Sus scrofa: one gene and its partners. The protein of the gene in region 1 interacts with the protein of each later gene in a pairwise test. Links are inferred from orthologs where the notes say so. Each region holds a gene or a part of one and is shown on either strand. Other genes may lie near its edges. The genes, in order: ADAMTSL4, LONRF1 and AMMECR1.

Region 1 (6,879 bases):
TTATATTTTCACTTCCCTCATCTTTTAGAGATGAGATTTTTTTTTTCCCCCTTTGGCTCTGATCAACACTTGTGGAAGTTCTGGGGGCCAGGGATTGAATCCAAGACACAGTAGCAACTGAGCCACAGCATAGAAAATGCTGGAACTCTGAGCCACCGAGGAATTCCTAGATAACATTTGCTTCTGTTGAGTCCCGTTACCTCCCCAGGGCTCTTTCTCCAACTAGACCCAACTCTTTGGCGGCCAGAGACTATTCTAACTATGCCTTCAGCACCAAGTGCCACAAGTGCTCAAGAAATGATAGGTGGGCACATCTGAGACCCAGTTATTTTGTGGGGATGCAGGAATGTTGCTAGAGCTTCTATTTTGGGAGAAGGGGCTGCACCTGCTGCATGTGGAAGTTCCTGGGCCAGGAATGGAACCCAAGCCACAGCAGCGAACCAAGCTGCTGCAGTGACAATGCCCCTGAACCTTAACCCGCTATGCCACAAGTGAACACTTAGAGCTTCTTCTTCTTGTGCTTTTTTTTTTTTTTTTTTTTTCCTGTCTTTTTTAGGGTCGCACCCACAGCATATGGAAGTTCCCAGGCTAGGGGTGAAAATCGGAGCTACAGCTGCCAGCCTATGCCACAGCCACAGCAACCCCAGATCCGAGCCACATCTGCCACCTGTACCACAGCTCACAGCAATGCCGGATCCCCCACCCACTGAGTGAGGCCAGGGATTGAAGCCGCATCCTTACAGATACTAGTCAGATTCATTTCTGCTGTGTCACAACAGGACTCCCAAAAATATCCTGGTTTTAAAATATTGACAAGTCACTGAAAAAAAACCAAGAGCTTAAAAATACTGAAATAAATAAATGAATACTAATAAATAAATAAATAAATAAATAAATAATAAATACTGAATAGGAGCCCTACGTTGCTGTGGCTGTGGTGTAGGCTGGCGGCTGCAGCTCCGATTTGACCCCAGCCTGGGAACTTCCATATGCTTCAGGTGCAGCCTTAAAAAGCAAACAGGAGTTCCCGTCGTGGCACAGTGGTTAACGAATCCGACTAGGAACCATGCTCAGTGGGTTAACGATCCAGCGTTGCCGTGAGCTGTGGTGTAGGTCGCAGACGCAGCTCGGATCCTGCGTTGCTGTGGCTCTGGCATAGGCAGGCAGCTACAGCTCCGATTCGACCCCTAGGCCTGGGAACCTCCATATGCCGTGGGAGCGGCCCAAGAAATGGCAAAAAGACAAAAAGAAACAAACAAACAAACAAAAACAAACAAACAGGAGTTCCAGTGGTGGCACAGTGGTTAACAAATGCAACTAGGAACCATGAGGTTTCGGGTTTGATTCTTGGCCTTGCTCGGTGCCATGAGCTGTGGTGTAGGCCTGCGGTTACAGCTCTGATTAGACCCCTAGCCTGGGAACCTCCATATGCCGAGGGAGTGGCCCTAGAAAAAGCAAAAAAATACAGCAAACAAACAAACTGAATAGACTCAATAATACACGACTGCGGTTGATGAATAAATGGCAAATAAAAATTTAAATCGTAGTGTCCATTTGTTATCTACTGTCAGCCATTTTGTATATATTATTTTTCTTTGTTTTTAACTAATGACATAGATAATGCTCATGGTTAAAAATTCAAAAACATATAAGCATAGAGTGACAGCCTCCTAACCCCACAACCCCTCCCCAGGTATTGTCTCCAATTTTGAGTCTGGGATGTATTCTTCCATAAATAGACAGACGTATCTCCAAGCCTGTCATATGAATCAGATAAGCCCATTTTACAGATGAGGAAACTGCAGCACAGAAAGTTTGAAGTACTCATCCAAGACCACAGAGCTGACAAGTCCTGGAGCAGAGATTCAAATCTAAATCGTCTGACTCCTAAGTCAGCGCATTCCTCCCGCTATGCCCTGTGTGTCAAATTTTATGGATGAAGAAACCTAGGCTTGGAGTTCCCCTCCTGGCTCAGCGGTAATCAATCCAACAAGTATCCATGAGGATGTGGGTTCGATCCCTGGCGTCGCTCAGCGGGCTAAGGATCTGGTCTTGCCATGAGCCGTGGCATAGGTTCAGAAGCTTCTCGGATCCCTGCGTTGCTGTGGTGTTGGCCGGGACTGCAGCTCTGGTTATACCCATAGCCTGGGAACTTCCCTATGCCCCTGGTGTGGCCCTAAAAAGACCAAAAAAGAAAAGAAGAAAAAAAAAAAAAAAAAAAAAGAAGAAGAAGAAGAAAAAGAAGAAACCGAGGCTCATAGAGGTCCCCTGAGCAGCCAGAACCACATGGTTCACAGCCAAACGTGGGAGAGGCAGGGATGAGAGTGTGCTTGCACCAGAGGCTGCGTGGAGGAGAGGGCCTCCGCCGATGGGGCATCTGGGATCGTGCGGGTCTATCTCGGCCCAGCAGTGCCCAGATCTGGGCCCAGAGGCTCGTCCACGCCGCTGGTGTACAGGAACCACCCAGCCCCTTGGCGCCCCTCGCGGCCGCCCCGCCAGGGCAGGCGCAGCACTCGCACCGCCCACTCGGAGCCGGCTGGGAGGCCCGGGTCCCGGAGTCCCGAGCCGCAGCCAGGCCGGGAGACAGTGCCCGGGGGCGATGGCTGTCTTCGAACAGGGCTGGGACCCCTTCGGCTTCGCCCCCTCGAGCCGTCGGCGGGCGCCGGGCGGGAGTAGCTAGTCCCGCTACTCTGGGTGGGTGGCCTTAGCGAGCCGGGGGCTCGGGGTGGGCCGCCCAGACCCGGGGGCCGGCGAGGGGCGCGGGCCGGGCGCGTGGCGGGAGGGCGGAGTGGGGGCGGAGAGGGGGCGTGGCGGGGGCGGAGCCGCGGCCGGAGGCGGCAGAGTCCGGAGCCCGGCTCAAGGGCCGCCGTGGCCGCCGCGGAGCAAAGCTGTCTCGAGAGAGCGCCCGGGCGCAGAGGGGTTAACGGGCCGCCGGGGCCTCGAAGAGCAGGTACAGACCTTCCCTGGGACCCCTGGCCCCGGCTGCCCTCTCTCCCAGGTCCCGTTAGACCACCGGCCCTGCGCGCCCGCGCCACCCGAGTTCCCTGCTCCCCAGGGTCGCGCCCCAGCCACGACCCCGGCCCCAGCTCTTAGAGCCTCGGAAGATCTTCCAGTCCCTGGGGCCGGATTCCTGGGGAGGGGGTCTGATCCCTTGGAACGCTGGCCCCGTCACCCGGCCAAAATTCCTACTAAGTCATAAAGTCGGAAAACATACGCAGGACCTCGCGGCATGCGCCGGGCGCCACCTGCCCTCATCTGAAAGGGTGCTCCTGGAGGATGTGTATCCCACCCTCCACCCCCGTCCTTTGGCCCTGGAGTTGGGGGATAGGGACGATGGGAGGGGTGCTGGTGGGTGCCCGTGATCAAACTCAGCCTGATTGGAAAGGAAGGACACCTGTCGGGTTGGGCCTCCCTCACTCAGGAGTGGAAGGTGCAAGGAGAACCAAAGTGTTTTCTCTCAGCATAGGGACTCTCCAGCCAGCCCTGGAACCTGCTGTCCAGCCTCCTGCCCCTCCGTGGCACCCATTTCCCAGAGGTGGGTCCCCTGGGGGTGAAGGGGTTAGTCTCTCCTTAATCTTCACTGGCCAGTGTGGAGGTGTGGCCGGGAGGAGCCCAGGTTCGTCTAGACCAATGTTAGCCTGGCCCAAGGGTGACCACTTCTGACCTCTCCTTTCCTCACCCTGGGCGGTGAGACACACCAGATGAGGAACATGAAAAGGGTGAAAAACACAAATGTGTGTCTGTTTCCGCAGTGGAGGGGGTGTCGGCCCCCTGCCCAGCTATGCAGGAGGTGGGGTAGGACTTTTCCAGAGAGGGAGCCAGGCCTGGCCATGGCCCCAGGAGCTCACGTCACCCCACCCCCCACCCCTCACTTCTCCAGGGAACTGCCAAAGCCAAACTCAGCTCAGGACAGGATTATGTGTACTGGGTAGACCCATGGAGAGAGAAAGCAAGATACAGACCTGGGGTAGCTGCGAGCAGAAGCAGAGAGGGATTGGAGAGGGGCCTGGCAGCAAGAAGGGGTAGACAGTGACCATCACCCCATCTCTCCTTCCCTTCAACCTCCCTCCAGTGAGAGGCAGGCAGAGAGCTGAAGGCTTGGGTGGAACGTTGGCCCTTCTCTGGAGCCCCTACCCGATCCCCCATCAGGGTGGAGTTGCTGACCTCAGTGGCCAGCCCAGCCAAGGGAAGGAGCAGACATCAGCAACCCCTTCCCAACCCCAAGGAGCTGAAGAGACCCTGCAGCTCGGGCTCAACCACTGCGACCCCTCCCTCAACTTCCCAAGTCCTGGGGTCTCAGGGAGGGGAGTGCGGGCTGGGAGTTGCTACCCCCAAGCACATTCCTGCCCTTCCCGCTGTCATTTTCCTGCCCCTGAGCTGGCCCACCTCGGCATTAGCTCCTTGGATTCCTCTCCCGGGTGCCTTTCAGATCCAACAGAAACATTTTTTTTTTTTTCCTGGAAAGCAGAGCTCCAAGCAGCCTGAGGAGTGGGGGTGGAAAGGCCTCACTGTGAGCAGGAAGGGGTTGGGGGGCAAGGGGGAGCGGTGGAAGAGTCAGGCTTAGACCAGGGGACTAAGTTCTGCTTCCCAGATGATCAAGGCTAGACTTCAGGATGGACTTCCCAGCTCTTCAGAAGATAGACCAATGCGGGACTGGGGAGCAACGACATCTCTAGCTGCATCTCCCCTTCCCAGGTTCTCCAAGCCCATCAGAATCTCGCCTGAAGTAAGCCCTCACTGATCCAGGGCTGGACGCCAGCCCCCAGAGGGAGGTGAAGTCTCAGTGGGAAAAATCACTTGCTTCTCTAGAGATTAAACCATCAGCCCATTTAGTTTATCCCTTGGCTGAAAAGCATTTGAGGCAGGCAGAGATGTGCTTGAGGGTTCCAGAAGGAGCTTAGCTAAGAAGGGAAGAGATGGAGTTCCTGTCGTGGCTCAGCGGTTAACAACCCCAACTAGGATCCATGAGGATGCGGGTTTGATCCCTGGCCTTGCTCAATGGGTTAAGGATCCGGCATCCCTTGAGCTGTGGTGTAGGTCATAGACACGGCTCTGATCTGGTGTTGCCACAGCTGTAGCTCCGATGAGACTCCTAGCCTGGGAACCTCCATAAAAGAAAGGAAGAGAAAGCTGGGAGACAGGCAGGGGAAACCCAGGGGCTTCCAGTCAGCAGCTCAGAGGGGGTGCCTGGCAAGTGCTTGCTGAGCCTCTTTTCTCAGCTTTCCAGGAGGAGCCAGGTGGAAAGCAACTTGAGAAGGATGCATGTGCCTGGGCTGGCTTTGAGACTGTCCCTAGTCAGGACTGGAAGGAGCTGAGACCTTCCTACAGTTGAGGGAGGGGATTTAGCCTGAGTCTGGAGGCTGAGGGCAGACCCTCACCCTCTAGCCTGGGCAGACGGACAAAGAAGTGTTCCTTCTTCTTCCCACCCTTAGGATCTTAAAGAGCTGGGCCAGTCTTCTCCACGCCTCCCTCCTCACTCTGACATGTCTTGCTGAGGGGTCATCCCTCCCAGTCCCCAGCCTTCCCGAGACTGGGTCCGTCTTCAGTCCTCTGAAGCCTAGATGCCCAAGTAGAGTGTTTCCTTTGGGTCCCCTCCTCCCTTGCCCTGGGGCCACCAAGGGAGGAGTGATGGAGAAGCAGGCGATCAGGTAAGAGGTTGGGGCTGCTCTAATGGAGGGATGGCTCTGTCCCCCTGTCTCTGGAAGTAAGAGGAAGGAGATCTCAGGGTGGAGCCGTGGGAGGTGGTAACTTCTGCTTTCTGAGAAGTTGGCATCAGGATGTGGGGAGCCCACTAGGGGTGAGGGGTGGTGTCAGACAGCACCTTCACTCCTGCCTTTGGTTTGCAGGCCCGGGTTGTGTCTGATGCTGCTTCTGTCCCTCCCTCAGCTCTGCCTGGATCAGGAGGTGAGCAGGGGACTAGAGGCTGTGAACCTTCCTCTCCCTGTCCCCCCCCAGCCCTGCAGTCTCCAGACAGACCACGTCTCCATTTTCCAAAGCCTCTGGCAAGCCATGGCCCCTTTCTCTCACGCTTGGCCCTCCCAGCATCCCCAACACCCTAACTCCTTGCCAAATAACCTCAAGTCCTACCTCTGCCACTGAATGTGACCTTGGGCCAGTAACAACTGCCCCAACCTCCAGCTTTGGACTGGATATTCTGTACAGATATTCTGTACCCTCGAAAATCATTCTAATTTCGTTTAAATTTTTGGTCTACACAGGTGTTGTCTGGACACTCACTTCAGACACCCCCTGAGGAGAGCCAGGGCCCCGAGGGTGTCTGGGGTCCTTGGGACCAGTGGGCCTCTTGCTCCCAGCCCTGCGGGGTGGGGGTGCAGCGCAGGAGCCGGAAGTGTCAGCTCCCTGCAGCTCACCTCCACCAGGGCCGGCCCCCAAGACATCCAGAAGGCCTGCTCCCCCGGGGTCAAGGCCCTAGACCTCAGACTTCCCGAGAAACCCTTCCCCTGTACAGGCCACCGCCTCGGGGAAGAGGTGGCCCCTTTCGAGGTCCTGCTTCTCAACTAGGGAGAGAGGAGGCCCGGGAGACTCAAGGAGCCAGGAGGTGAGGGGTGGCGCTTTGAGGGGAGAGGCGGGGCCTTGGGCAAGGGGCGGGGCCTGGGATGAAGGCTAGTGGAGCAAAAGATCCAGGCTGAGAAAGGCTTATCTTTGGTGCTAGGAAGTAGACTGGGGAGGCAGCGTCGGAGATGACCAGCTCTGTGACCCCGTGTCTGCAAACACCTTCTCAGGTCCCGGGTTCGAGACCCCATCAAGCCAGGAATGTTTGGCTATGGGAGAGTGCCTTTTGCTTTGCCGCTCCATCGGAACCGCAGGCACCCGCGGAGACCACTCAGATCTGAGCTCTCGCAGACCTCAGACCTTCCA
Region 2 (6,879 bases), on another chromosome or scaffold:
TAAAAAATCAGTCTTAGAAGTAATAGCCACACACCTGGTTTCTGCTTTCAGTTCTAACTTAGTTACTTGCTTACCTTTTAAAAGTCACAATTCTCAGAGCTCTGTTCTTCAATCTGTGAATTAAGGGTACTAACACATGCTCTTCTATCTCACATGATCTTTTGCAAGGATCAGTTAAGATCATGGAGATGAAAATATTCTGTGAACTAAAAAGCACCATATAAATATCAATGCTACTGTTTCAAGCATTTTATGGAATAAGTTAAGGCATACATAAATTTACTAATCAATAAATTCAAATCTCTTCATGTTAACCTAGTTAACTAAGATACTAAAAATCTTTCATTTTCTTTAAATGTATTTAGTATATACCTATAATTTGGCTAATCTTTTTATAATCAAAGTCTTGCAGTATCTGTATCTTATCGATACTTGCTAAAACCATAAGAGGCAAGAAGCAGGATTTAATCCTCACTCCGGTAATATTAGTAACGTGGTAGAGAAAAGGAGTTAACATTATAAGATGTTGATTTCAATTTTAGCGAAATCACCTTCTAGCTGGAGTGCTACTTTTACATTTTTTAAATATTTTGATTAATATTTACTACGTATTTACTTTGTAAGGTACCATTCAAAGCACTTCACTTGTTTTGACTCTCTTAATTCTCACAACAGGCCTAGGCCATTGTTTTGGTTGATAACTATCTACTGGCAGATCCAATTCTCACTTTTCAGATAAGGAAAGCAAAACAGGGAGGCTAGACACAGGCCCAAGGCCAGAGAGCAGGTGAAAGCTAAGCTGGGATTCAAACCCAGGTGGTCAGACAGCAGCATGCACAGCTCTGACCACTAGGCAGCTCTGCATCTCTAATCCTAGGTGCCTCACTTTCCCTCTGAGGATAACACTACTCCACAGGATTCCTTGTGAAGATCAAATGATATTAAGAATTTAAAACTACTAGGTAATAGTAAAGGACTACATAATTGATATTCAAGATAAAAATTTCCTTCTCTAAGTATTTTAAATGAAATGTTCTCCCCCTCATAACTCTTATTTCTTTTTAAACCAGTTCAAACTGTAAATTATACTCTTCTATTGTCTTCTTTGGGGGGAGAGTGGCAAGTCAGTGCAAAAATTCATTGAAAATAAGAGAGCATAACAAAGTGGGATCATTTCAATAGACTCCTGAGTATAAAAATTCAATACAGAAAAGACTTTTACATAATGTCCTTGAAAACTAAAAAAGACAGAAAGTTATGAAACATCTGAGAGTTAATACCAAAAGATCAATGGATTAAATGTTATCTAAATATATTTCGATTCAACAGAAACTTATGTAATCTCAATGGGAACGTTCTGATTTTGGCAAAGGTTTTCTAGCTTTCCTTTCTTGTTGACAAGGATTAAATTTGGATGTGTGTGGGCTAACTGTATGTAGACTAGATTTTTTTCCTAGTTAATAGTATTTACTTGTTTCATTGTAAGAATCATATGAAAAAATTATAGTGAAGGTCTTTTTCCACTGTCAACAATAATGAAGATATCAGAGTAACTACAACTGAATACAATTATAAACACATTTTAAATGCCGATCTAGCTAACTAGCTCTCAAAAAGTTTAACTCCACAAGTAGATTTCTAAGTCTACCATATCTTTTTATTTATACTCATAAACTGTTAAACACTTAATATCTGTACTTCACCAGTTACAATGTGTTGGTTCTAAGGTTTTTTCCCTCTAGTCTGTAATGAAAATTCAAAGGATGAAAAAAGCTATCTTCATTAGTACCATTCAGACACGTTTTTGACAGGAATTTTTGAAAGACCTAAAAATGAGGGGAAAACAGACTAATGAGGTGAAAGCAGAAGACTTGAGTTCAAGTTCTGCAAAAGCAGAATTAACCAGCTGAATGGACAAGATTCCACATGCAGTCTATGCAAAAAGAAAAAAGGAGAAAAAGTAGATCTTTCATTCTTTTTCTGTTAAAAATAACATCCTCAACCCCAGGCCTCAAATCTTCTTTAATTAAAAGATTATTGGTCATAGAACACCAAGCTACATCTTAATTAGTAAATGTACTCCCTGTTCTTCCAGAGATTAGGCTCTGAATTCTTATGAAATGCCTTATTTAAGAGATCAAACCACTAAATCAGTAGGAGTTAATACTGAATAGCGCGGTCAATAAGTTTCATCCTTTATTGGTGACAAAATACTTTCTCAGAAATTTATGTTAAACATTTTCGTTGTATGAGCTATAAAGGTAGGACAAACCATGGTCCAACATTTAGGAGAACTGGAGGACATAGTGTTTCCTCTACAACCAGCAGGCTTGTGACTGTGGACAAGTCATTTCACTGTCCCAGCTTCTGCTGCTTCATTTTTAAAATGAAGACCATGTCTTAGATGGTGTGTACTTCCCCCTTCATACTCTAGTCACCTGGAGAGGCTGAGTTGTACCAGCATTTTATATTCCAAATAGTTTTCTTTGGTTCTGCCTCTATCAACCTATTTTACAACTGCAACTTCTCATAAAGACACTGAAAGAATATAAAAATATGCCAAGTTTGTGCTTTAAACTTTAAAGGTAGTCAAAAATTCAAAGTAGGTATTAGTTCAAAATGACTAAGGACTTAAGGTAAAAGACCTACAACAAATAACTTTACATAGTTTATAAATGCACCTAATACCACTTTATATTCCACATCTATTTTCTTGGGGATTATTTCCCCAAGTATGATTTCATGCCTATATATACCTTAATTTTGAAATATGCTTACTCAACACAAGGCTCAGCAGTGACAAATCTGATATTTGGGGCCTGACTATTGTGCGGGAGGTTGTCCCAGTGCATCATCAGTTGTTGAGCAGAAACCCTGGCTTCTACCCATTAGATGTACCAGCACCACTCCCACAAGGGGTGGCAACCAAAAAATGTCTCTAAGATATGGCCTCAGACAATGTTCCCTGGGTCAAATCCACCTGGTAGTAAACTACCCATTTAAATAACTTTTCATTTTACAGAGCTAACTCTGGCAATGCCTCTTTCCACAGCCTAAAACCACCTCAAGTGCTAGCCTAGGTTAGGAGGCCGAAACTTTCTTGGAGCGAAGAAATAGAGACAAAAGCTCCCCAAGGCCTTTCCCCGCAGCTGAATAAAGAGTGGAAAGGCAAAGAGAAGCGTGGCAACGAACTCATCAGGCTGCCTCTTTATCTTTAACCAGGTGTATTCAAAAGTAAGTACACGTGTGTTTCTGAAATAAGCATGATTTGAAATAGGTTGAAACCAACAAGAGCAACCAAGTCTGCAGGGGTTTTCATCTAAAACTGCCTACAACTCCAAAGCCCGATTGCCTACAGAGCCTCGGGGTGCGGGGTGCGGGCGCCAGACTCCCGCCACGCCCACTGGACGTCACCCGTTACACAACGCCCTCCCCCCGCTCCTGCTTATGCAATTCTGCCTCCCGCGGCTCCCAATTGCCCTGGTGACTTTTGCGGGAGACCGAGGTAGACGTTGCACGCCCAGCCTCTGCTGGGGATCCTCTCCCCTCCCCGGCCAGCGTCGCCCCGTGGCGGCCCCGGCCCCGGCCGCGGAGGCCAATTACCGGAAAGAGCGCGGCAGGAAGCTGGCGGCCACTTGGGCTCGCCCCACTCCCACCCCATCCCGCGCTCCGGCGGCCTCGCCCGGCCACCCGCTCGCTCGGTCACCCGGGCGCGCCCGCCACAGCGCCAGGCCGCGGCGGAGGGAAACCCGGCCGCGTCACAGTCGGCTGGAGGGCGATCCCCATTGTGACCGAAGCACCCTGGGGCGCCGCCCCCTCCCACACCCTCCCGGACCCTGAGACGCGGCCTCGGCCGGCGGACGGCCTCGGGGAAGCCGCTCGGGGTCGCCGAGGAGCTCGGGGCCGCCCGCCCGTCGGGGAAAGGAGGGTGGGGTCGCCGGGCCCGCGCGGTCACCTGCTCGCAGAGCCTCGCAGGCAGCGGCCAGGGCCTCCCGGTAGCGGCCCTGGTGCAGCAGCTCCCCGAGCCGGCCGGCCGCCCGGGCTCGCGCCCGCTGGCCTGGGAACCACTTCTCGGCCAGGTGGTTGAGGACGACGCTGGTCCTGAAACCCGAGGCGGCGATGGCGGCGGCCAGAGTCGGCGGCCGCGGGGAAGTCCCCTCAGCATCCGCGGCCGCTGCGGGCGGCAGCCGGTCCCGGCAGAGGCGGCAGCGGGCGCGGAGCTCCCTCCGCAGGCAGCGGCGGCAGTAGCTGTGGCCGCAGGGCACAGTCACCGGCTCGCTCAGGAAGCCCCCGCAGCCGAGGCAGCTGAGCAGCCCCCCGGCGCCAGCGGGGGCGCCCGCTGCCGGGGTCGCACTCCAGCGCAGCCCGTGGCGGAGCCTGTAGTTGAACACCAGGCAGTCCACCAGCGTTCCGAGGCACTCGGCCCTGACCGGGGCCCCACGGCGCAGCGCCGCCGCGTACGCCTCCAGCGCTCCCTTCAGGTGGCCGCCCAGCGCCAGCAGCTCGCCGCGGCGGAGCAGGAGCTCCCAGCGCTCCGACTCCGCGGCCGCGCGCTCCAGTCGGTCCCCGTCGCCGCCCACTTCCCAGAACCGGCCCCGGCTCGGCGGCCGAGGGGCCACCTCTTGGCTCCCTCCGGGGGAGCTCCTCGCCACGGCGGGAGAAGACATGGCCCGCGGAGGGCTGCGCCGCCGCCGCCGCCCGCCGCCACGGTCCCGGAGCCTCCGGGGCGCGCGGCTCCGCACGCTGCCCGCGAGCAGGGGGGCGTGGCGCGCGGACACGGCGGGGCGGCGCGCGCCCGGGAAGCCCCGGGGGCGGGGCCTGGAGGGCGCGGGGCGGGGCCGGGCGGAGCAGCGGCGCCCGGGACTCCCCCGCACCGCCCGCTGCCGGGTCCCTGCGGAGCAGACCGCCGGCCCCGCCTCTCCTGAAGCCCCTCCTGGCGGGAGACGCGGGGTCAGATGATCCCTCAGCGGGGATCTAATTGGACTCTCTGGAAAGGAGGGCCTGGCTTATAACTGAACAAAGCCCGAAGGAACCCAGACTTCCTTCCCCTACCCCCTGCCCCTCCGCCGGACATCCCCCACCTGGCGTGGCCTCTACCCTAATCCCAGTTTCGTGGGTGGTGTTCTGCCCGGCAGCCCACCTTGTGGGACTAAGTCCCAAACTGCCAACACTCTCTTGACTTTAACTTCCACCTGAGTGGGAACCCGCCCCCTCTTTGTGGCCCCTGGGAGCCTCCTGGTGTAGTGTCCCAGTGGTCAGGTGCTCCTCTGCATTTTCACTAGTTTATGCCCAAATTACAGATGGACACGTAAAGACAAAGGGTTTAGGAATGCGCAAAATCAGTCTAATGACTCCAAGGCTGGAGTAGGTCAATTTTAAGACCAAAATAATCCCACTCACCTATCTGATGTTACTCACTCCAGAGGGTAAAACATTTTTCCCTGGTGGTGCCAAGTTAAGGCTGCCTTTTTGGTTTAAAGCCCAGCGCCCCCGCTCCGCGCGCGCCCCGCTGTTTAAAGCTTTCCTCCCATCTCAGAGGAGACCAAAGTTTCCTCTGCACATCTCATATACTACCACACAGCTGGCTAAGGCCTATGTTTGGCATTTTTAAAGAGAAAATACCAGGATAAACGTTTTTCGAACAGCAGTAACCATATCACTGTAACCCAAGCAGGGTCTGCAGTTTTGCCCATAGAAGAAAAAGAAAATGATACAATTTTTGTTTAACAGATTATATTTCCTTTAAACTTGGTGGCAGCGAGATTAAAGCTCTTTGTTGAAAATGTTTATAGAATTGACCATTGGGTACTGGATTATTAATGCTGTCCTTTTTCAAATGTTTAGAAGCAATAGCCCAGAGAGGGAAAGTTACTTGCCCAAAATCCCACAGCTAATAATACAGGTTTTAAGATCACTTTACTCTCATTCCACTATTATTAGATCTTAGGTAAAAAAAATTTCAAATGCGGAATTTTAATCTGATGCTATGTCTGAAAATAGCTGATATTTAACATCCCTCTTTATACAGAACAGGCAGCTAGGCTGAAAACTGCTTTGATTTACATGAGTTTTTAACTACACAGTAAGTACATCTTGCAACTTCAGAGGAAATGTATATACATGGTGACCAAGGGAACAAGGAAGAAGCTGAGGAAAAGCTCAGGCTCCTGTTCCAACAGGGTGCAGAGATAAACCAGTTCATTCATCATCCACATTGAACCTGAAGCAAACTGCAGCTGAGAGCCAAGGAGTAACTCCTAATCATTTGAGGTGACAAATAATGGGATTAATTCAGAGCATAACCTTGAATCTAGTCATAGCCCCCTTGAATTACTGCCTTCCCTTAATAAAAGAATGACATTAGTCAGAGGCCCACATACTCATCTGAAACTTGAAACTGTTTGTAGTAAAACAGATATCCATATGCCTGTGGACATTTACTTTTTGAAGTATTCCTGTCCTTAAGAACCACTTGCAAAATATGCAACAGTAAATATTTAATACATGTATTCATGATTACACAAAAAGTGTAAGTTGATAAACATGCTTATATTTCTTATCAAATATAGTTCAAATCAGGATTATTATGAAATTCCACCCCCCAAGTTAAATATATGATTCAGAAAATAATATGAAGCATCATTTGTCCTTTGCAATTTCTTTCCCCAATAAATATGACAAATAGCCACATTTGATTCTGGTGTGAAATAAAATAGTACAATTATGATAATGAGAGAAAAAATGAGACCGTAGGAGGCATCTTGCCGTGTTCTCCTTGGCATTTGTGAATGGTTATAATTCATGTTTGCTGGTTTATACATTTACATAACTGGTTCTCATTTATGTAACTTATTTATGTAAGAGGTTGTACTGCCTCTG
Region 3 (6,779 bases), on another chromosome or scaffold:
AAGTTTGCTGCAAGGAATCCCAGACCCCTGGTGAGCGGATCTCTTATCTAGCTGCTACGGCAACTGTGGCCTTTGTCTCTTGAGATGCTGCTGGCCCAAAGGATTCTCCAGTCTGTCAGAGGGGGGTTCGGTTATTATACATGAGGATTACATTTGGGAGTCGCAGCTGTGACAGATGCCTGCCTCCAACAACACAGAATTCGTTTTGGTGCTCATTTCAGTGGCGATGACTTAATTTGCAAAGCCAGTGATTTCCACAGGTCGGCCAGATTCGGTCATTCTCCACAGCAGGCTATTTCCCACTCTCCTCTTTTAATTGAGCAGTATGACTGTTTCCTTCTGGGAGCAAGGAAAATGCTGTCGCTCAACAGGTGACAAAAGGCATAATAATACTTTGATTCTGCTCAGAACATTATTACCATTCTCCCGATGCCACTAGTGGGAAAAAAAAAAATGAAGTCACTCTGGCTTCGGCTTTCTATCTTTGCGGAGGGTGTTTTTGACCTATGAGATAACTTACTTCTCACAAAGGGAACACTTGAAAATCACGATACTTGCAGTTCAATATACGGGGGCTTTCAATCGTTCAGAATCATAGGAGCACAGAAAAGAATTTTAAACGTTGTAAGTGGGGTCCTAATTCCAAATGGGAGAATTTTGATAATTTTCCTATCAAATTTGATAGTTGGGCCTTCTTAAAATACAAATGTAAATCAGTTGTACTCATGAATAATTTTGATTTTGGTCAGCGTGTCCTTCTAGCTTGGTCTTAACCTCTTCACATAGCTGTATCTTTATTAAGATATTACCCACGTACCATACAGTTGGTCTTACCTCTTTTCATTATTAAATTACTAGGCTTTAAAATCTCTGTAATTTTTGTTGAAGAACACAGAATGTACTCCTGTGAAGAAAGGATTTATGTCTAAATCACCTCCAATTTGCCTAAATCGCTTTTTTTTCCCCCAATAAATAGCCACAGTTTGTCGGAGCTAGACTGATTATTAGAGGTTATCTAGTTAACCCAGAAAAAAAAATCACCTGGGGCGTTATTATTTTTCCAAACCACACTTGGTGAAGTACAAAACCTCCTGCCATTCTGATAAGCTGCGGCCCCCATCCTCACCCCGTGCCAATTAAATAGCACTGATTTAGTCCAGCATCCTCATCTCACAGACAGGGAAACAGTCTTTCACTCACAATTTTGATTAGACACCTTAATAAACACCAAAATTCTTTTCAATTTTAACATGACAGAGTTTTGATAAATGGAGTCGAAGATGCAGAATTTACCTCAGTGAATGATGGGAGCATAAATTATATGTGCCGTTATGTTTTTAAAAACAAATGATGAAGGATCTGATATGTTGAAGGAAAAAAATTTCAAAGTCACTCATCAGAAAGGCAGTATACAGAAACGGTTGCAAATTTGTCATTGTCTCAGTACCATGTCGGGCACTGGGGAGATTAGTAGATGTCCTTTATCCTGGAAAGGCCTGATAGCTAAGCACTCATATTTCTTCTCAGCTGTCCAGAGCCATTTCCCACAGGGTATGGGAGGCCTTATTGTGTTAGTTTTTAAACAGCTGCCCTGATTGCATTTTCAGCAGAAGGAGATTCATACGAATACTGATCTTAGATAGAAGAAAAGAGCCACAGAGATAGGCTTTCATAAAAAACATAAACTGATCAGAAGATCGGACAGACGCTAATGGATGGATGTGCAGAAGACCTGGGAGGAAAAATGAAAAGGATTTCCCAGAGGAGGTTTTGTTGTTGTTGTTTTGCCTTTTGCCTTTTGAGGGCCGCACCCGCGGCATATGGACATTCCCAGGCTAGGGGTCGAATCGGAGCTGGAGCTGCCGGCCTACACCACAGCTACGCGGGATCCGAGCCGTGTCTGCAACCTACACCACAGCTCAGGGCAACGCCAGAATCCTTAACCCACTGAGCGAGGCCAGGGATCGAACCCGCAGCCTCATGGTTCCTAGTCGGATTCCTTTCCACTGCGCCACGACGGGAACTCCAGAGGAGTTTTTATTCTCTGAAAAAGGCCAGTAAGCACAGAAGAAGCAAAAGAAGTTTTCGGGGACCCCCTCTGCCTCTTCTAGACCTTGACAATCCATACAGATGTATGGGTGTAACCGCCTGCTCTGCAAAGAAGCCTCTTTCTCAGGTAAAAATGTTTACCTGGTCTTAACATCTTCCCTCCAGGACCTTGGACGATCTTAACCTCCACGTGGGAACCACTGATCTAAACAACCACAGATTGGGGAGAAGAGAATGGAGAGGTTATACTTTTGAAATGCCATTTTTATTATCAGTGTATCTAAGGACGTCAAGAACTTTTTAATGATCTTTCCTCTCTGCACTATTATTCTCTGTGAGACGTGAGGGGAGAGGACAGCTTTCTTCTGGTTGAATGTTACCTCAAAGAAACAATATGTAACTTTTCTTAAACCATTGGCAAGAAATTGCACACACTTACTTACTTAGACTCTTTTTTAGGGCGCCACCAAAAGTTTGTCTGTTTCACGTGATAAAGTTATAGTGGTCTCTGGGTTGGTATATGAGAAGCTGTGCAGAAACGCCCTGCCCTGAAGCAATTCACAATCTTTATTGCTTTTAGATTTGGTAGCAGCTTTGTAGATAGACGGTGAGGGTTTGCCACTGGCCATAATACATTTTTTTAGAAATACAATCTGTAATGGGTAAGCTCATAGGATCTGGTTGGATTTTTTTTGGGGGGGGGGTCTTCTCTGTTTGTTTATGTACATACAAGTCAAGGTTTACTAGACAGTTTGGGATGGGAATCAGCAGCCCCAGAAATGTGGGGACTTCATCTGAAACGGTGATCATCCCTGAAAGCAGGAGGGTTGTTTGCTCTCTCCCTGAAGTCACTTCCCTGGATCTTGCCCCTTATTGTCATGAGCCACAAATTGGGGCAGGGGCGGGGGAGGGCAGGACTCTTGGCGTTGATGGTCTTATTCTGCACCCAGGCGCAGCATGGTGGTTCTGGTTCTAAACAGAATGGCGTGGCCCAGCGCATGTTGGTCACATGCACATCGATGTTTTGAGCCTCCATGGCTGTCATCACGACCTTCAGTCCCAAAGTCAGTGTCTCGGAAAGAGAAAACAGACATGCCCTTCCAAAAACAAGGGGAAAGGAAGAACTGCATTCTCTTGAAAGTTAAATTATAACTTTTTCTTTCTGTTTCTATGAAGAAGACTGTACTAATAAAACTGCCAATTTCTTTCAGGTGGGTGTACATGGCATTAGAATAGAATTCATCAATGAAAAAGGATCAAAACGCACCGCCACCTACCTACCGGAGGTTGCAAAGGAGCAAGGTCATTGTTGTACTTTATTTCATATGATCTGGTGAAGAATTGAAACAAATACACAAATTGAAATGCGCTATCTGACCTTGCAGTTTTATCTGATAATTGATCACTGTCAAATTAATGATAAGAAATGACTCTTCCCTCACTGCCACTGCAATGTCTGAATGAAATCGGTGACTTCACACAAAAGTTGCACCTCTGCACTAAAGTTTGACGGCAAAAACATACAAAAGTGTACTTTCAAAAAAAAAAGCAAAGATTTGTAAAAATTGAGTGTTGTTTTAGGCAGTGGTTTGCTATGAATTTGAGGTGCCATCTTCCCATATTCCACTGTACTCTAGCCTCGTGGCATAAATCAGCCTTTCGCTTGGCGGCCAGCCACGCAGTTCATTGTCAGTATCAAATGTTTCCTTCTTAGCTGGTTCCCATTACTTCCTGTGCTGCCGTTACGATCGTAGGTTTCCCATGAAGATTAGGAGCATTGAGAAAATATGAACCATTTTTAGTGTTTTACATGTTCCTAATCAAACTTTTTTTCCGTTTTACCGCCGTAGCACACACCTTTATGAGTTACCACTGCCACACAAAATAACATTTCACTCTGCACTGTCCTCTCCTTTCCACCCACTGCTAAATTCTGGTGTCAGGTTAGCTCAAAGCAATGTCTCTTCTTTATCTCATGGAGCGTTTCCTCTCATCAGAAAGCATTTGTACTTCGTTTTCCCATATCTGTTTCATGTAAATGTGAGATGTATAACTGCCAAATTTAATATCATTAAATCCCCCCCACACCCCCAAACGAGAGAGTCAGTCTTTCAAGCAGCTATCTGAAGATCTGGGTTGCTTTAGAAAATGTCTTAATTCTGTAGTTGCATTCCGTGACTCTGTAAAGCAGACCTGAGAGGTAGAGGGCCTCGGGTATGAGTATCCATCCTGTGTCAGAAACAATAAAAACGCCTTTGAATACTGCACACAGATGCCCTTGATCGACTACAGAAGATGCTGCTAAACATGGCAATGACCATGAGTTAGTGTGGGAGTCCTAACTACTACTGCGTTGGCTCAGTGAGGCTTTTCCCTCCCTTTTAAAGCTGTCCCTGGTGGAGGAGGGCACAGCGTTTGTGGTTTGTTATGTGAGACACGACAGAGCCGTTACTGCCAGCCTCTTGGGTTCCTTGCCTCCGAATGCGGTTGAGATAAAGAGGCCAAGGTTGCTAGCCATCGGGGGTATAGCTAGGATATAAGGCGTACTGGGCGGTACCTGCTTCTGTACCCGATGCAGCCTTAGCTCTTCTGTGTGACTGTTTTTAGGACCAAAGGGGTTGATGGCATTTGGTGACAGTGATCGCTGACCTCTACAAAGTCATTTTGTATTTGACCACAGGTGCTCGTTACATGTGCTTGACTGGTATTTTATCTGGTCTACTCTCCACAGGATGGGACCATATTCAGACCATAGACTCCTTACTGAGGAAAGGAGGATACAAAGCTCCGATTACTAATGAATTCAGGAAAACCATAAAACTGACCAGGTACAGAAGCATTTCCTAGTGCAAGGCTGCCTAGTACATTTTGATGTGTATACCTGTAACCTTTTGATTTCTTTGGTCTCTCTAACTGTGCTTGCTTCTCTTTTCTGAAACAGAGTGGAAATGAATGGCTGGGCCATACTGAGGGGCGGATAACAGTGGAACCTCTGCTTGGCAGCAAAGCCTGTATGATGTATGGGCCCACCCAGCCCATCTTCACTCTGTGTGATTCCTCTGGCTTTGCAGAAGCCAGCCCTCTGAGCCTTTAGACTGCATTATTGAAGAAAGTGGCCTGAATTAGCTACCGGTTAGCTTTTGCCATTGCTTAGCAGAACCCCAGGATTCTGATAAGCAGTCCTCAAATTTGAATTTCACCTTAGAACTTTGGCAGTGATAGAGAGCTTGCTGGAAAACACAATTGAGCTAGACTCGCACATGCTAAATGAATTTCTGCACGGGCCAATAGGGGGACTTATTTTAAAAGGAAAAGATCGAACATTTTCGGAAAATGGGTTGCTGTTTCCATTTCTTTTCATTCCACGGAACCACATGGAATGCCTGTAGTTTAAAAACGGACTCTTCTCAGCTCTGAGGAGTCACAGATTTGAAAATGCCTCCATCTCGGCTTTCTCTGAGTTCACTTTCTAGGAGAACAGAAGGGCATGTACAAAAATAATTGTTAATATAAGACAGAATGTGATGGATGATGTGAGCTCATGGAGTAGGGAAAGAGGAATTCCAGGAGGGGTTGGGGATAACAGAAAATTCCAAAGAGGAGATAGATTTGAGGCTGGGCTTGAAGAATGAGTAGACTCTTTTGACAGGTGGAGAGTGGGGAGGAAAGGGATGCACTTAAACGGAACTTTGTGAGTCAAGGTATGTAGGTGGCGAGGTACAGAGCAAATTCGTTCAATAGTCTGATCGGGTTGGTCTTTCAGTGTACATAGGGAAGGCGGTCACTGGGCCAGATGTGGTCCAGAAGGTAGGTCAGGCCAGTTCATGGAGAATATGAAGGTTAAACGTGATTCCATAGGCACTTGGTAGCCATCGAAGGGTTTGAACAGATGGATTTGGGGACATGTAAGATTGAAATTGGAAATAGGAAAATTCATTGGGAGACATCCACACTAGGTGAAACGGGAGCCTCAACATGAGCTGTGGCAGTGTGCTGGGAAGAAAGGAGGGAAAGGAAAATATTGGGGAGGGGGAGGAAGACTTAGTCATCACTCAGAAGGAGGGAAGGAGTTCCCTTGTGGCTCAGTGGGTTAAGGATCCAGTGTTGTCACTGCAGTGGCTCAGGTCACTGCTGTGGTGCAGGTTTGATCCCTGGCCCAGGAACTTCTGCATGCCACAGGCGCAGCCACACACACACACACACACACACACGCAAATGCACAAAATCTAAAAGAGAAGTAGGGGAGTTCCCGTCATGGCTCAGTGATTAACGAACCCAACTAATATCCATGAGGACGTGGGTTTGATCCCTGGCCTCCCTCAGTGGGTTAAGGATCCGACGTTGCCATGAGCTGTGGTATAGGTTGCAGATGTGGCTCAGATCCCACGTTGCTGTGGCTGTGGCGTAGGCCGGCAGCTGTAGCTCCGATTCGACCCCTAGCCCGGGAACCTCCATATGCTGCAGGTGCAGCCCTATAAAGAAGACCAAAAAATAAGTAAAATAAAAAAAAATAAAACAGAAGCAGGGAAGATAAGCAAGTAAAGTCTTTCATCTAATAAAAGGGGCCAAAGCAGTCTCTTTAACCAAGAGAGGGAGCACAATGAGGAGAGTCCCACGTGTGCGTTGATTCTGGGCTTGAAGTGCTTCCTGACTTATCTGTATCGAAATGTCCAATAGGTCACTGAACACGTAGGTGCGGAGGGCTCATGGCCAGAGACGGGGATTTGAGA

The links.
Region 2: the proteins of ADAMTSL4 (region 1) and LONRF1 interact in binary tests that used the Homo sapiens proteins (3 or more experiments, as listed by UniProt). The two-hybrid records come from large-scale screens. The link is inferred for Sus scrofa from reciprocal best matches to the Homo sapiens genes ADAMTSL4 and LONRF1.
Region 3: the proteins of ADAMTSL4 (region 1) and AMMECR1 interact in binary tests that used the Homo sapiens proteins (3 or more experiments, as listed by UniProt). The two-hybrid records come from large-scale screens. The link is inferred for Sus scrofa from reciprocal best matches to the Homo sapiens genes ADAMTSL4 and AMMECR1.

Annotation. Positions count from the first base shown.
Region 1 is NC_010446.5:98,585,161-98,592,039, reverse strand, and holds the start of ADAMTSL4 (ADAMTS-like protein 4), read left to right. Parts: upstream 1-2,784; 5' UTR 2,785-2,950; intron 2,951-3,461; 5' UTR 3,462-3,535; intron 3,536-4,695; exon of another isoform or gene 4,696-4,772; intron 4,773-5,432; 5' UTR 5,433-5,628; coding exon 5,629-5,648; intron 5,649-5,846; coding exon 5,847-5,904; intron 5,905-6,218; coding exon 6,219-6,559; intron 6,560-6,743; coding exon 6,744-6,879. UniProt on the Homo sapiens protein: Positive regulation of apoptosis. May facilitate FBN1 microfibril biogenesis.
Region 2 is NC_010459.5:912,456-919,334, forward strand, and holds the start of LONRF1 (LON peptidase N-terminal domain and RING finger protein 1), read right to left. Parts: upstream 4,767-6,879; 5' UTR 4,668-4,766; coding exon 3,956-4,667; intron 1-3,955.
Region 3 is NC_010461.5:90,310,546-90,317,324, reverse strand, and holds part of AMMECR1 (AMME syndrome candidate gene 1 protein), read left to right. Parts: intron 1-3,260; coding exon 3,261-3,351; intron 3,352-4,780; coding exon 4,781-4,877; intron 4,878-6,779.